2 linked regions of the Astyanax mexicanus genome follow. The protein of the gene in region 2 purifies or fractionates together with the protein of the main gene of each other region. This does not show direct contact. Links are inferred from orthologs where the notes say so. Each region holds a gene or a part of one and is shown on either strand. Other genes may lie near its edges.

Region 1 (7,600 bases), on a different chromosome or scaffold from region 2:
AACTTAAGGGACAGCTTGTATTTGTTCATTCTTTCCTTTTTCTTTTATTTATTTATTTTTGCCAAAATAAAGGATTTGGGATTCTGTTTTGGTAGATACCTGAACTCATTAATTAAACAAGCTTGCAGTCAGATCAGACTCTCAATATTTGTACTTAAAGAGAAGAGATTCTAGCAACAAAATATCAATGGCAAAAGGATCCAAAATATGCATACCGTTCCATGGTGGTGGTACCCATTTTTCAGTGATGGAAGTAGGATACATCACTGCACCTCCATACTGCTCTGCCCACTCCACATCTGGCTGCCATTGCTTCTGCCTACAGGGATGATGAAGTGATTTAGTTGTGGTCATTAGAATTTTTTATATAGTTATCACAGTCATGATAACTATATTTTGGTTTGGAAAACACACTGACCAAGAAATAATTAAGATAAATGATTTTAGGGATGGATCCAAAGACAATATAATAGCAAAACAAAGTAACTACAGCTTTAAAACACATGTTTAAAGACCCCAAAAAACACACAGTTTTTAAACAAAGTCAACATATCAAAACTTTCATATTAAATGGGCATTACAATAAAATAAAAAACAGTGTGCAATGCGAAGGTCAGTTAAATTAATCAAGGTCATGTTCACATATTGTAAAATAAGTCAATATATTAACAAAACGTTATTATGAGGGAAAAGCAATGCAGGATTTGGGTAAAAGCCTAAATTAACAAACACCTGTAGCAGCAATGTGTGCACTCTTGGGAATATGACCTAGCTATTCTGCAAAAAAATTAAGTTTGCTAGTTAAATAAGTTAGTTATAATCTAACCTGTGTTCAGCTATGGCACCCTCTCCCCACATCACTCCAAAGGGTGATGTCAATCAGCACAAGACATCTGTGAGCTGACGTATTGGAACCGAGCCGCTGCGCTTTCCTCCGAGCACAATGATGCTACTCAGATGTGTTGCATCAGCAGCAGCTCGAAAAGAGGCGACGGCTGACTTCACATGTATCAGAGGAGGCATGTGCTAGTCTTCACCATCCTGGTGTTGGGGCATTACTAGTGATAAAGGGAGTCCCTAGTGAGTTAGGTAACTGACTTTGTAAATTGAGGAGAAAATGGGATAAAAAAATTTCTGTCATTTTAAAAAACTAGATCGCTTAGTGACCTTAAGCTCATTTGCTGCAACTCGAGATGATCTTATTCTACTGGCAATGTTTTAGTATAGGGATTAAGCTAGTTATGTTTATGGTACCTGAACACCTGTACCAGCAATGTGTGCACTCCAGTCAATCTGACAAGCTGTTTGAATGCTTTCATTTAATTATGCATATATACAGCTCTGGACAAAAATTAAGAGACCACTTTGGTTTCTGAATCAGTTTCCTTGATTTTGCTTTTTACAGGTACATGTTTAAGTAAAACAAACTTTGTTGTTCATTTTGAACACCGTTGAAAAACCTCTGGAACATAATGAAGCGGAAGATAGAAGGTCACAACCATCAAAGCTGAACTGCTTGAATTTTTGCGCCAGGAGTGGCATAAAGACACCCAAAAGCAGTGTGAAAGACTGGTGGAGAGCATGCAGAGACACATGAAAGCTGTGATGAACAATCTGGGATATTCTAACAAGAATTGACTCGGAACTCTTCCTTCGGTAAAACCTTAGTATTGCTGTTGTTTCAAAAGGAATTAACTTATTTTCTTTGCCTTATTTGAGGTTTGAAAGCACTGTACCTTTTTCATTATTTTGACCATTTCTCATTTTCTGTAAATAAATGCTCTAAATGACTATTTGTTTTTGTAACTTGGGAGGAATTTTGTCAGCGATTTATAAAATAAAACCACAATATTCATTTTACGCAATTATATAGTTATAAAGAGTTAAATCTGAGAAACTGACTATTTTTAGTTGGTCTCTTATTTTCCCCCGGAGCTGTATGTATACACACACACACACACACACACACACACACACACACACACACAGCAGTGTTTACGGGAATCACATGGCCTAAACATTAATTATCTCTTAAAGCTTTCATTCGGAAAGACCCAATCAGACCAAAAAAGTTTAATTATTACACTTTTAAACGATATGTTGAAATATTGCTGTTAGAATCTGATGGTATCCAGTCTCAAGCGCTTTAGAGAGGACAGGTACTCGTGTAGGAAGATTAACTTAGTTCTGGACAGATGCTGCAACAAGTCTTCCCAAAAGTACTGTAGGTTAGTAACTGAGCTTCATCCACTGTTATCCACGTTCCTCTGTCATTGGACATAGCACTAGCTAGCTTAGTGACCTTACGCTCATTTGCTGCTGCTGCAGAGTGTCTTATTCTACTGGCAATGCTTTTATTTGTGGATTAAACTAGCTTAGCTGTGTTTGTGGCACCCTGAATTCCTGTTTCAGCAATGTGTGCACTCCAGCCAATCTGACAACAAGCTGTCCAGATACTTTTGGGACATGTTAGCTAACTTAGATATCCTATTAATCACTAACTAATTATCTATCTTCAGAAGAACAGGTCGCATGTAACTTAACCACGCAGTAAATTCAGACCGTATAATAATCTGTGACCTTATTTAGCTACTAAACAGATTATCTATGGAGTCTATGAGCGTACACCGGCTCGCTGAATTAGCTGGCGTTACTTAACCTAGCTCAGATTTAAAGGTGGGTAACCCAGCTCCGGAAAGTAAAAATCCATTCCAGGGTTTGGTAACAACTGCTGAGCCGTCCAAGCAGTTGGTACAAAACCCTGGGATGGATTTTTACTTTCCGGGCCTGGGTTACCTACCTCTACTCAGTTTAGCCTGCTTGCTAACGCAAAAGGTTAGTTATGAAACTACCCGCACCTAATGAACAGATTCAGCGCATTATTAACCACCAAACCACCGTATATACAGTCCAGACACGCTCAGCTCAGATTTGAACCCCTGCCCCGTGTACAGTGCTGACATTAACCCGAAATATTCCTGCAGTTTATATCTCAACACACAGACCAGAGTTTCTGATTTAACAGTCCGCCCGCAGGAAGCTGCAGTTTATTTCAGCAGCTAGAGCTGAAGTCCTGTTCTGTGATCTGAGACTTACCTCTTCTGAAGCACAGCGCAGCTCGGGGTCAGAGCGCTGCTGTTTAAAATCGCCGCTGAAGGACGTCCGAGTTTGGAGAGCGACCTCAGCATAGTCGCCGCCATGTTCACAGGCCGGACTGTCTGACTGCCTTCAAATTCAGCTCGTCTAGCCCGTTCTACTGCCCCCCAGCGGAGCGGTACCTGCGCTACTGCCCCTCACCACCAGGGGGCAGCAGAGACAGGGAAAACTTAAAGGGGCAACATGAGAACTTGTAACGTTAATGGTTTTAGAGAGATGGGTCTGTCTGCAGAACCGCAGAGCCACGGATCAGGTTTTCTACCTCGATAGACTGATGGTCTATGTAGACATATCACTCTCAACATTGATAGTTGGCTTACATGGGATGTACTTTTACACTCACTCATATATGCAACGTTACATTAACTATTCACCTCAAATATGCAATACATATGATGAATTTCATATTATAACTTTTGGTGCAATATTTTATATTTATTATAGTTTCCATGCCAATAGAGCACTGAAGTCATGTAGATTGCGGCACCATGTTGTTGTTTATGCCCATATTTGGGGTTCCGTGTCTAACAATTCTTTTTAACAACTGGCCTCTATCACATTCTGTGGTAAATACATATGTTCAGAACCTTGTTCATTTTAATCTGTGTACGTTTTCCTCCTGAACATCACTGGATCTTCTGAATTATGAGATCCTTTAAGGTTAGTAATTCGAAAAATGCTAGCTTCAAGCTAATGCTCAACTGACTTCACAGCACAGCGGCAGGGAATGGCAGCGGACTCAATTCTGCACAACACTAGCGAACTCCTGCCGGATCACGTTTTGGATTATTTAATTTATTGAGTGTTTAAACCTGGTTCTGGGGTAACTGTGCTGCTTTTTATTAGATGGGTCAGCAGGCTTTAATATGGTGTAAACATACAGCCGGAATTTGCTGGTGTTGCACCGAAAAGAGTCCCCTGTCGATCTCTGCAGCTGCACTGGGAGGTCAGTTTTCCCCCACTGTAGCATTAGCTTAAAACTAGCATTTTTCTTATTACGACTCTTAAACAATCTCGTAATTCAGAGGATCCAGTGATGAGCCATTTTTATGTTTTGGGTCTGCCCCATCTTTTCTGAGTCTTTGTATTGGTGTTGCTCAATAAAGAAATTATAAGAACATTTTGCATTGTTTTGACTAGCACCACAATTGACATAATATAAAATTGCACATTTTGCATTAATTTGACTAGCACAAATTTTTTGAGTGTAAACTAAAAACTGGAAAAAAAAATGGAAAGTGGAAAATGGCAAGACAACTGAGAATGAGAATGCAGAAGTGAAGCTTCAGAAGCTCCTTTCAAAGCTGAGCATGTCTTAGAAGAACAGAGAACTAAGAGCATGAGGCAAACAAAAGGCACTCTCACTCAGATGGCTTTACTACCATTCTTGAACTTCAGACCTCAATAAAGAAACAGATCAGATTTTAGTATTCACACTTCAATCAAATAGTTTTATTTTATACAGTTTTACAGAGTTTATCATTTTATTATTATGAGAAATCTAAACCTTAAACAAAAAAATTTACCTTTTTATTCCTTTATAATCAGCATGGTGTGATCATTTACAGAACCTATAACCTATTTATTTTCTGTACTACCTCATACAATCAGAATGTGTAATCATATTAAATAAACATGCCAGGTTATTGCAAAACATTAGCCAATATGTTTCTATTTAAGTTGTTATAGATAGATCTTAGACCGGGTCCAGAAAATCCAGCCCATCCCAACCTGAACCTGTGCACATTCTGCTCAAGCCCGACCCGACCCGCCTCATAAACAGTCTTTTTGAGCCTGAGCCCGACTTAAACCAGACAATTTTTAAAATTATGTTAATTAACACTGAAACACTGAAGAAGCATAGACCAATTATTTAAAAACAATGTTGATTAAGAACCGATCTCCCTGTCTACTCTAATATAATTAACAATGTCTAAAAAAAAATAAAACACTTTCTGAACAAAAATATTTTAAAAATATTTTAAAACATATAGCCTATGGCAAAACACAAAAAAACAACAATAAGGCAACGCACACTCATTAAACCAAAATAGACCAAGAGCAATAGCATGAATTACAATGACCTTCGTCCACTGTAAAATAATTAACAATGTATAAGAATATACAATACTTTCTAAACAAATTTTTTTAAGCTTATAGTCTAAGCGCAGAACACAAAAACAGCAATAAGGCTAGGAGGAGGAGCTGACGTGCGCAGTGCTCACTGCACAGTTCCAGAGCTTCATAATCATAACATTTTAACTTGTGCAACTTTTTAAAAACACGATTATTTACTATATTGTGAATATAAAGCCATAGCTTTATATAAAATAGCTTAAAAAACAGAGCCCGGTCTGACCCGGCCTGGGGACAGTGGTGGGAAATCCGGGCAGAGAATCTAACCTCCCCAGTCTTATTTCCACACCCCAGGTTGCCAGGTGTGGAACACAATTATCAGTCAAACACAGTGTGTTGCAGCCACTGTATCCTTTTAAAAAGCTCCACAATCAGGTGAAGAGTAAGCTGTGAATATGATTAATGAAGTAGCTATGAATGTGATTATATGTTGCCATTGTAAAACTTCTTTTACTTGTATGAGTTGTATGGGTAGGTTCAGTGAGCTACAACCGTGTTCCTAATAAAATGCTTGTTGTGTATATTGTCAGTGGCTTTTATCAATGGCTGTAGGAAAAAATCTTTAAATTGTCTCAGTCCCTTTATATTATAAATTTTCATTTAAATTTCTTAAAACATTTTCTTTCGCAATCACCCAGTAAGTTGTGGTAAGATCACACACACATTTATCTAAACATCATACAGCTACAGATCTTTATCTTCCCCCCTCAGGTTGTGCATGCTGCAGTGATGGCATCTGCAGGTGCAATTTTCTTCCTACGCTGACGTTTAGAAATCGACCACACCGAGTGTGTGTCAGAAGCCATGATCTGTTATAGAATGGTGTGTCAGTGCTGTTTGCAAAGGTAATTTACATTTCTGTGATGGTGAAATTAATGCAGAATAGTTGAGGCTGAGGAAAAAGAGAGTATCGATCCTGAATTGACCTGCCTGTAGACCTGTGTGGATATTTAGAGAATAATGTGACATTGACGACCCAACTTAACATTTGAAGGAAGAATGAGGAAAAAAATTATATACAGCTCTGGAAAAAAATACGAGACCATTTCAGTTTCTGAATCTGTTTCTCTGATTTTGCTATTTATAGGTTTATGTTTGAGTAAAATGAACGTTTTTGTTTTATTCTATAAACTACGGACAACATTTCTCCCAAATTCCAAATTAAAATATTGTTATTCAGAGCATTTATTTGTAGAAAATTAGAAATGGTTGAAATGAAAAAGAAGGTTGCAGAGCTTTCAGATCTTAAATAATGCAAAGAACACAAGTTCATATTCATAAGGTTTTAACAGTTCAGAAATCAACGTTTGGTGGAATAACCCTGTTTTTTAATCACAGTTTTCATGCATCTTGGCATGTTCTCCTCCACCAGTCTTACACCCTGCTTTTGGATAACTTTATGCCACTCCTGGTGCAAAAATTCAAGCAGTTCAGCTTGGTTTGATGGCTTGTGATCATCCATCTTCCTCTTGATTATACTCCAGAGGTTTTCAATTTGATAAAAAAAACAAACCCAAATTGCAAGGATGGTTGTGCCAGAAGATTGATACCATTTAATTAGAACATTTGTTCACCTCACCACCGAGGAAAACTACTGCTTTCAATTTAAAAGAAAGTAACTTTTGCGAAAGTTAGGGACTGCTGCTTTAATAAATGACCTCAGAACACTTCCACACTACTTTGGGCTATTTTTACATGTGGAAATGACCTCCAACACCAACACATCCTTTCCCTTCTTCTCTCTTCCTTTTTTATCTCTATTAGGTGGAGGAGATGCTGTTACTATTACATTTTCTTAACTGGCGTATAAAACTGTTACAAAAGAACTAATAAAACACTACAATATTACAATATTATTTTTACAATAGTTTAATAGTTACTATATTATTCTAAATAAAATACTACATAGTTGTTTTGCCGTTTGCTTCACTCGGTGCCAGAAATATTTTGGGCTAGTTTAAGCTTCTGAAGGGGTGATTTTAAACAGACTTTGGGCACGATATTTTTGTTGGACCTGGCAACCCTGGTGGAGATGCAACCTGGCAGCTGGTGGTGGAGGAGGGCAAGATGAAGGTGATACTGTTAATGATAAAGGAGATTTATGGAGCTTACATTTAAATAATCTGTTGTCACAGTAAAACAGATAAAACATGTAACCCGAAGTATGGGTGCTGAAAAAATAGATTCTTTTAAGAATCCTGATTCCTAGTCCTAGAGTTCTGAATCACTTCAAAATGCCCTGAAATCGATTTTAAAATACGTTTAGATTTTTACTGCTTCTACTCCCGACAGTACTGCATGCCGCATT
Region 2 (8,173 bases):
AAAAATACAGATCAGAAACAGAACGAACAGAAAAGAAAACACACTAGACATACAAAGGCTAAAGGTGTGAAAAACAGAAATTGTTGGGGTTTTCTAATAAAAATTAGCCCTATTCCCTGAAATGAGTTTAACGACCCTGATCTGATTTTGAACTATAAAATACGAGGCATCGCATCAGCACTAACTTCACAACCACTAAGTCAGGGATTTTAGTGGATGTACCATGTCAAATTGAGCTTTAATCTAAGACTGTTTGAATAGGATAAAATGTGTTGTAAAGAACATTAAATCTGAGCCAAGATAATTTGAGCAAAAGACAGCACCACCTAGTTCTCACTGACACCATTACTCAGCCATGGTCCTTTTCAATGAGCTTATCATACATTACTGTGCCAGGCAGAGTTGTACAGTACAAGCCAGCGATTACTGAGCCTTGGAAACACGTAGTTATTGCAGATCTGGATTACAGAGACAAAAGGCAACCCTGTTTTTGGGCTGAACAGACAGGAAGGGAGTTTACAGAAATGGTGATTTTACGTATTACGGACCTTTCACTGCCTGTAACCCGCACATTCCCAGAAGTGCCAAAATGGCTTGGAGAGGGGAATAATTATATACAAAGAGCTCCACTCTAACCTATTCTAACAGAGTTCTAAAGAAACCATCCAATGAAGGTGGAATTTGAACACACATGAAGAGAGCACAATAGATTAGAAGTCTATCACCTTAAACACTCAGGCACCTTGTCTTGGTTTGTCTCTAAAATGTCAGTTCCATTTTTTGGCCTGAAATGTTGTGAAATGCTTCTTTATTCACTTGTTCTTCATGTAAAGATGATCAACATTGTTGCAAAGGCATTTTAAACCCACACAAGCAGAGCACAATGAATTAGCAGTCCATTGCCTTATCCACACGGCCACCTCGTCTTCTTTTTCCATTTAATATACAGTTCCTGTTACACGCATTGGAGCAACAAATAAACGAGTTTAAACATCCGATGCAATAGCAAATATAAAGAAGCACACATTTCTAATGGTGAAACTTTATCTTTATCACACTCTAAATGTGGTGAAGACAGGCAGCGGCGTAGTAGCGGCATCACTCTTAGTTATGAAAGTGACATCAATCTCCTCCAATGGGGAGTGGACAGGCTCCAATGGGGCGTGGACAGGCCCAACAGAGGCATCGGTCTCCTCCAATGGGGTGTGGATGTGTCCAGCAGAGGCTTGACACATCCTCACTCTCCTCCAATGGGGGCCTGACATCTGACTGGGGCCTGGGGCCACTGGTTCCAAATTCCTGAAGTGATTAATAAGAGTACATCCATCTTTTAAAGGTTTGTTTGTACATCAAAAATTGAGTGCTTTTTAGTTTTCTAATATTTTTTTACCGTCTGGTTTTGTTGACATAATGTTACCTGCAATGTGAGATCAAGATCCTGTGGTATGGTCACATCATCATCATCATCATCATCATGGTCACCAATACCAATCTGCTGGCTAAGAAGATCTCCCCGATTGGACTGAGCCATTTCATTTCAAAGGGATACCCCACATGCACATTGGTGCCCAAATAACATCCCCTGCCTTAAATAATTGTGTGGGTTTGCAGGTGCCACAGATCTGACTGGGCTGTATGGGTGGTGCCAATTCTCCCTGACATCCTGTCTCAGCTGCCCATTTGCTTCATAAAGGATGTGTGCAATCCACTCTTGGTCACCTGGCTTGATGACCCGGAGGAGCGGCTTTGACAAGAACCTGGCCTGGCTTATTTCTGGATAGTGCTCAGGGACTGGGAGCAGCTGGAGCGGGAGCAGAAGCAGGGGAAGGAGGAAGTGGCCTGCCACTCTGAGTGGCTGGTACCATCTCAAATGCTGTGGAAGGGAGGAAGGGGCAGAAACAGAAGCATCTCCACTTCAAAGGTGATTGTTAAAGTGGGCTAAAGTTGTGGAGGGAAGGGCTGAAGGGGCTGGAGGAGAAATGTCTGGGAGGTCTGTGCAAGATTTCAACACATGACACTTTTCAAGGTGCTCTGACAAAGCCACAACACCCAAGGCCTATGTGCCACAGTGCTCAATAAATTATCTAACCTAGTGACGAGCTAGCTAACACTAATGTTACTGGAGATAGAATGAAAGCTAGCAACGAGCTAACTAACCTTAGTGACGAGCGAACGCTAGCAAACTACACACTAATGTTACTGGAGTTAGAACGAAAGCTAGCAACAAGCTAACTAACCTTTGCTATGAGCTTTTCCAGGTTGTTCTTGACCGTACAAACTCTATTTTTTATTACCATTTAATAAAAAAATAAATAAATAAACATGCTGTTTTTACTAATAATATACTGTTAATTACTGTAATATTTAATACTATATTAAAACTACATTTTTATAAACACACAATGTTTTAAATATAGACCGTTTCAATGAGGAAAACAATAACAAAGCTAATGCGCATGTCTGTTCCTTCGACGCTTCCGGTGGCGTTATTTTCAAGTATACAGCTGTCAAAATGAGAGCGCATATTTCCCGAAAACAGAGCAAACATATGGTCAGAAATTAGTAAAAAGTGATCAAACCTCTTTTCCTGATCCTTTTGATAAGGATTTAAGAGGGAAGTTTTTTCCTCTGATTTAAAACGCGTGCCAGAGGTGATCTACCCAGATGTGATCAATACCTTGTTGAAACGGAGGCAGTGAAAGCGCACCGCAGTTTGGGCGCATATAATTACTTTCTCAGTGGAAAAGTTGGGAATATTTGTTCATATAGTAGAGAAGCATCACTATAGTGTATGGTGAGGTTGGAGCAAGTCAAACGCTGTCCAACATGTACTCTGCATGGTTTATAGATAAGAGGCAGGGAGAAGTTGTGAGTTGACACTGTAACTGCATGGCAGGTCAGCAGTGTGAAAAACGAAAGCACGCGTGTTTACTATGGAGGACCAAAAATGACATAAGTATAAATAAAAAAATGTTGAAATAAATAAATGAATAAATAAATAAATAAATGTTGACATAAAAAATACACATATAAATTAATAAATAAATATATAAATAAGAAATGTATTTATTAATTAATTTAATTACCTATACACTTATTTGTGCATGTGTTTATTTATTTATATATTTGTTTATTCATTTATATGTGCATTTATTTATATATTTATTCATTTCAACATTAATTTTTTTATTCATTTATTTATTTATATATTTATACATTTATATGTGTATTTATTTATACTTATGTAATTTTTGGTCCTCCATAGTTTACATAGGTTTAAAGAACAATTTGTACTACTATTGTAGTAACCACGGGTGCAGTTGAACAAATTGTCCAGTAGGTGGAGCCACAGTGCTCTCAGATGAATTGCCCTTCAAATGGGAGCAGAAAGATCAAAGAATCTTGCTGGTTTAGAAGAAAGAAATTAGAAGAAACTTGTGTGAGTTCAGCACAAATAAAGGAAAACAAACATAGATGTCTCTTCCTCATCTCATCAAGTCATCACAGTTATGCAGTATGAATTAGAATAGTTTTTTTCCCCTGTATCTCTGCGCACATAATTACGACATATGAAATATGAGGACATTTAAGGAATAGGACATATATAAAAACAATAGAATAGAACAATATAAGCAATAAAAATAAGCAGTAATCTATAATAATAAAACACAAGTAACCCATAAGAGCCCAGACCAATTTCTGAATATTGATACTAATTCATTGAATTTAATAAATTTATTGAGCAGCTCATTCATGTTTTTCTTGTGTGTGGGTTAAAATGTTAAAATCATGATGTAACATAAATCCAGTCACAAACAGGTCAGAACTAGTTATATGGAGCAAAAAACATTTTCTTAACGCGTTTGAACGGTTAAATGGTTGTAATAGAGCTGTAGAAGCAAAAAAAAAAACATCTCCAGCACTATCCCATCACACAGCTTTAAAATCTCTCTCTCTCTCTCTCTATATATATATATATATATATATATATATAGACATATATATATATATATAGACATAAAGAAAGAGAGAGAGAGAGAGAGAAAGAGAGAGAGCTCTGGAAAAAATAAGATACCACTTAAGACTGACGAGTTTCTTTGACTTTACCAAATTAAAAAAACGATGGAAAATAATCAAGAGTAATGGATGATCACAAGCCATCAAACTAATTTTTGCACCAGGAGGAACATAAAGTTATCCAAAGGCAGTGTGTTAGACTGGTGGAGGAGAACATGCCAAGATGCATGAAAACTGTGATTAAAAACCAGGGTTATTCCACTAAATATTGATTTCTGATCTCTTAAAACTGTATGATTATGAACTTGTTTTCTTTGCATTATTTGAGGTCTGAAAACTCTGCATTTCTTAGTTTTTTCAGCTATTTCACATTTTCTGCAAATAAATGCTCTAAATGACAATATTTTTATTTTGAATTTGGGAGAACTGTTGTCTGTAGTTTATAGAATAAAACAACAATGTTAATTTTACTCAAACATATACCTATCAATAGCAAAATCAGAGAAACTTTTTTTTAAGTTTAGGGAATTTTCTGACTTCAGATACTCCGTCTGAAGGCAGCATGTGTTGTGTTACGTATCCGCAGGAAGAGCCGTCAAGGTCCAGAACCACAACCAATGAAATCACTCCATACTTACAGGCACGCGCTTCTCCCCTTCTCAGCTTCAGCGCGTCCAATCAGAATCGCTTCTGTTGGGCAGTCTGCGCATGCTCATACGTCTTGTCTGTTCATGTGGCTGGTCGCTGGGTTTGTGTGGAGGTCACAGTGATCAGGAGCCCGGGTGAGTTACCTGCAGTGCTGGAGCCCATGTGAGAACAGTAGTTATATGTTAACTGATGATGTGCTGGTTGTGTGTATAGGAGTTAGGGTGAAGTAGCTAGCTTGGTTTTTGTGCCTCGTTTCAGTAGAAATGTGTGATTTACTAGTGCTGGCGAACTGCAGCAGCGGTGCGGTTGCAAAACGTTGCACCAGCAATAGATGCTAACTAGTTAGCTTAGCTAACGTTAGGTTAACTAAGCTAGCTAACTGAGTGTGTTCTTGGTTTAGTATTAGCTTGTTATAATCTTGAATTAATAGGTAACTTAGTCGTATTCATTTAACTAGGTAGTGAAGTAGTCACTAAATATTTCCAGACGTTTCTAGGTTAACTAGAATAGTTTATAGCTAGCTAATAGCTAGCATAGCATAGTCCATAATCAAGGCCTCTGAACAGTGCTCACATTATGCACATTTGTAGTTAGTTAGCTAACTAACTGTTGGCTCTGTTTGTTATACAGAATTAAACTAACTGAACACCAATAAGCTAGTTACCCAGTATGCTTAGCTCTGTCCGCTAGTTATATAATATTGATGATTAGCTCTTGATACATAAGTGAAGAGTAGATTTCCTGGCTGTTCTAAGAAGGAATGTTCCAGATAACCTCACACTTTGTCCTTTCTAAACCTAATAAGCTAACCCACATGCTGTTTTATAGTTTTTTCCACAGAATTTCACATTAATATTGTGTAAAAATAATAAATAATCCTTTTTCCCCCAGAGCCGTCACTCCGCTGTCATGGCTAAGTTATTTGAGTCTATTGGAAAGTTGGGATTGGCCTTGGCCGTTGGAGGAGGCGTGGTGAACTCTGCCCTCTTTAATGGTAAGTGGATTTCAGTGTGTTTTAGTGAAGTGTTGTAGTTGTTCACGTCTGTATCCATTAACACGATTAACAGTCTTTATTTCAGCAGCACGGCTGTGTTCAGTTTACTTTGTCTGAGATTAAAAGTCATGTGTTTTAACAGATTATCTGTCTAAAGCTGTATGTTCATATTACACATGGGAAAAGAATATTGTTGCTGTTGAATGGAGAACAATTATATCCAATTTTTTTTTTTTTTTTTTTAAAATAGCCCATAAAACCCCATTTAAAAATGCATATGCTTTCAAAGTAAAGAAGAGTTAAATATAAAAATATAAGACATTAAATATTAAAACATAATAACACAATAAATAATAAAAAACATGTATTTATTGTTTATAAGCTGTGCACAACCTGCCCAGAACGTGTCTGCGACCCACTTTTGGGTCCAAACCCACCAGCTGAGAATCGCTGCCTTACACTCACTTAATTTCCTGATGAACGGGTGGGTTTTTATGTCAGGGATTTTTATTGAGTCTCTATTAATCTGCAATGTAGTAAATAATGAAAAAAAGAATGTGTCCAAACGTTTGACTGGTACTGTGTCTTTGAAACAGAACAGGGACACCATGAGCAATTCAAAATGTTTGCATCTCTAGGTCAAGCATGGCTTCATCAAATGCTAATTTTCCCTAAAATTGTCCACCCTGCTGTGCAGCTTGCCATAACAAGGTGGACACATTCGTGACAGGAAATACAGTGTGCAAATTAAAAATATTATTTCTGATTAGGCATCTTGTCATAAGTTTTTTTTTTTTTTTTTTTTTTTTTAATACCTATGAAATGCCTAATACTATGATCCTAATACTAAAAGATTATGCCAAACTTTGCCCCTAATTGCTGTAAACTTTTTTATATTCTAAACTATATAATTACTAATAAAAAAATGATTTTGACTTAATCTAATCTATATCTGTGTGTGTCCTGCAGTTGACGCTGGTCACAGGGCAGTCATCTTTGACCGGTTTAGAGGAGTACAGGATGCCGTGGTTGGGGAGGGAACACATTTTCTGATTCCCTGGGTTCAGAAACCCATCATTTTTGACTGCAGGTCCCGCCCACGCAATGTGCCTGTCGTGACTGGAAGCAAAGGTAACTACTGTCAGAAAAAAAAATATATATATATCATTTTCATGATCTTGACCATGACCTTGACTCTGAAGGGGTGTAGTAATGGCCTTGTTATATTTTCAGTGCTTAGTGGCCATGGCAATGTTTTCTTATCATTTTAATTCTTAGCAGTGGGTCTTGCTGTCTACAGTATGTTAACCATATATCAGTGTCATGAAAAATGTGGAAATTTGTCCAAGTTGTTTCTTGGACAACGTATCGTCCAGAAACTTTTTTTTCAATTATTATTATAATTTTTTTTATAAATAATGTAGTAAAATTTTCATTCCAAATAAATAATTATCTCTCTACAATGGAATCTATAGAGTTTGCAGTGACTGACTAGTTACCCTAAGGCTAATGCTCTATTAGTATTATAGTTGTCTTTCCTTTCTTTTTCCTTCAGATCTACAGAATGTGAACATTACACTGAGGATTCTCTTCAGACCGGTAGCAAATCAACTGCCTAGGATTTTCACCAGTATTGGTGAAGACTATGATGAAAGAGTGCTCCCCTCCATCACCACTGAAGTCCTGAAAGCTGTTGTGGTGGGTAGCTATAAATCATTCTGTGTGTCTCAGTATAAGAGGTCCTAATAGTATGTGACCATGTGGCCGTGTCTCCATGTTTCCCCTCAGGCCAGGTTTGATGCAGGAGAGCTGATCACTCAGAGAGAGCTGGTATCCAGGCAGGTCAGTGAAGATCTGACTGAGAGAGCGTCCACATTCGGCCTTATCCTGGATGACGTTTCCCTGGTAATCCTTGATACTTTATATCTGTCTCACTTCCTTCATTCATTGCCTGTGGAGTGTGACTACAATGATGATGATGATTATGATGATGATTATGATGATCTTGATCCAGATTATATTTAAAGCAACTTTTCTTTCTGTTCTTCAGACTCACCTGACGTTTGGTAAAGAATTCACAGAGGCTGTTGAAATGAAACAAGTGGCTCAGCAAGAAGCTGAACGGGCAAGGTTTGTTGTGGAAAAGGTAAGATATGAGAACATCCTTCTTATCTAATGTATGTCTGTCTGGTGAAAATAGGGCTTATTGCATATGTATGTTATATGTAGAGCATATAATTCATTATTATGAGTATATATCTATGGAGCATCTAAGTTATCATGTAAAAAAAAAAATAATAATATTAATAAGGCATAGGCGTGGGAACGAGATCCTAATGCATGGAAAGAGATAATTTAGATTAATAAAGACATAAATGAATGCCTATGAAAAAGACTGGACATTACATCTAAGCTCCAGTCCAAAGATAATCTTTTGTAAGAAAATGGAGTGTGTCGTTCCTACGCCTTAATTATCTCATACCCACATTCTAGAATTTTGTTTCCATACCTTAA

What was found. The genes of interacting proteins can lie anywhere in the genome.
Region 1: the proteins of phb (region 2) and ndufs2 purify together in Homo sapiens (affinity purification with mass spectrometry; 3 studies listed by BioGRID and IntAct, with this or other methods). This does not show direct contact. The link is inferred for Astyanax mexicanus from reciprocal best matches to the Homo sapiens genes PHB1 and NDUFS2.

Annotation. Positions count from the first base shown.
Region 1 is NC_064415.1:29,481,563-29,489,162, reverse strand, and holds the start of ndufs2 (NADH dehydrogenase [ubiquinone] iron-sulfur protein 2, mitochondrial), read right to left. Parts: upstream 3,252-7,600; 5' UTR 3,201-3,251; coding exon 3,097-3,200; intron 320-3,096; coding exon 216-319; intron 1-215. UniProt on the Homo sapiens protein: Core subunit of the mitochondrial membrane respiratory chain NADH dehydrogenase (Complex I) which catalyzes electron transfer from NADH through the respiratory chain, using ubiquinone as an electron acceptor. Essential for the catalytic activity of complex I.
Region 2 is NC_064426.1:27,731,721-27,739,893, reverse strand, and holds the start of phb (prohibitin), read left to right. Parts: upstream 1-4,651; 5' UTR 4,652-4,799; exon of another isoform or gene 4,800-4,827; intron 4,828-5,556; 5' UTR 5,557-5,574; coding exon 5,575-5,659; intron 5,660-6,628; coding exon 6,629-6,790; intron 6,791-7,214; coding exon 7,215-7,357; intron 7,358-7,447; coding exon 7,448-7,564; intron 7,565-7,709; coding exon 7,710-7,805; intron 7,806-8,173.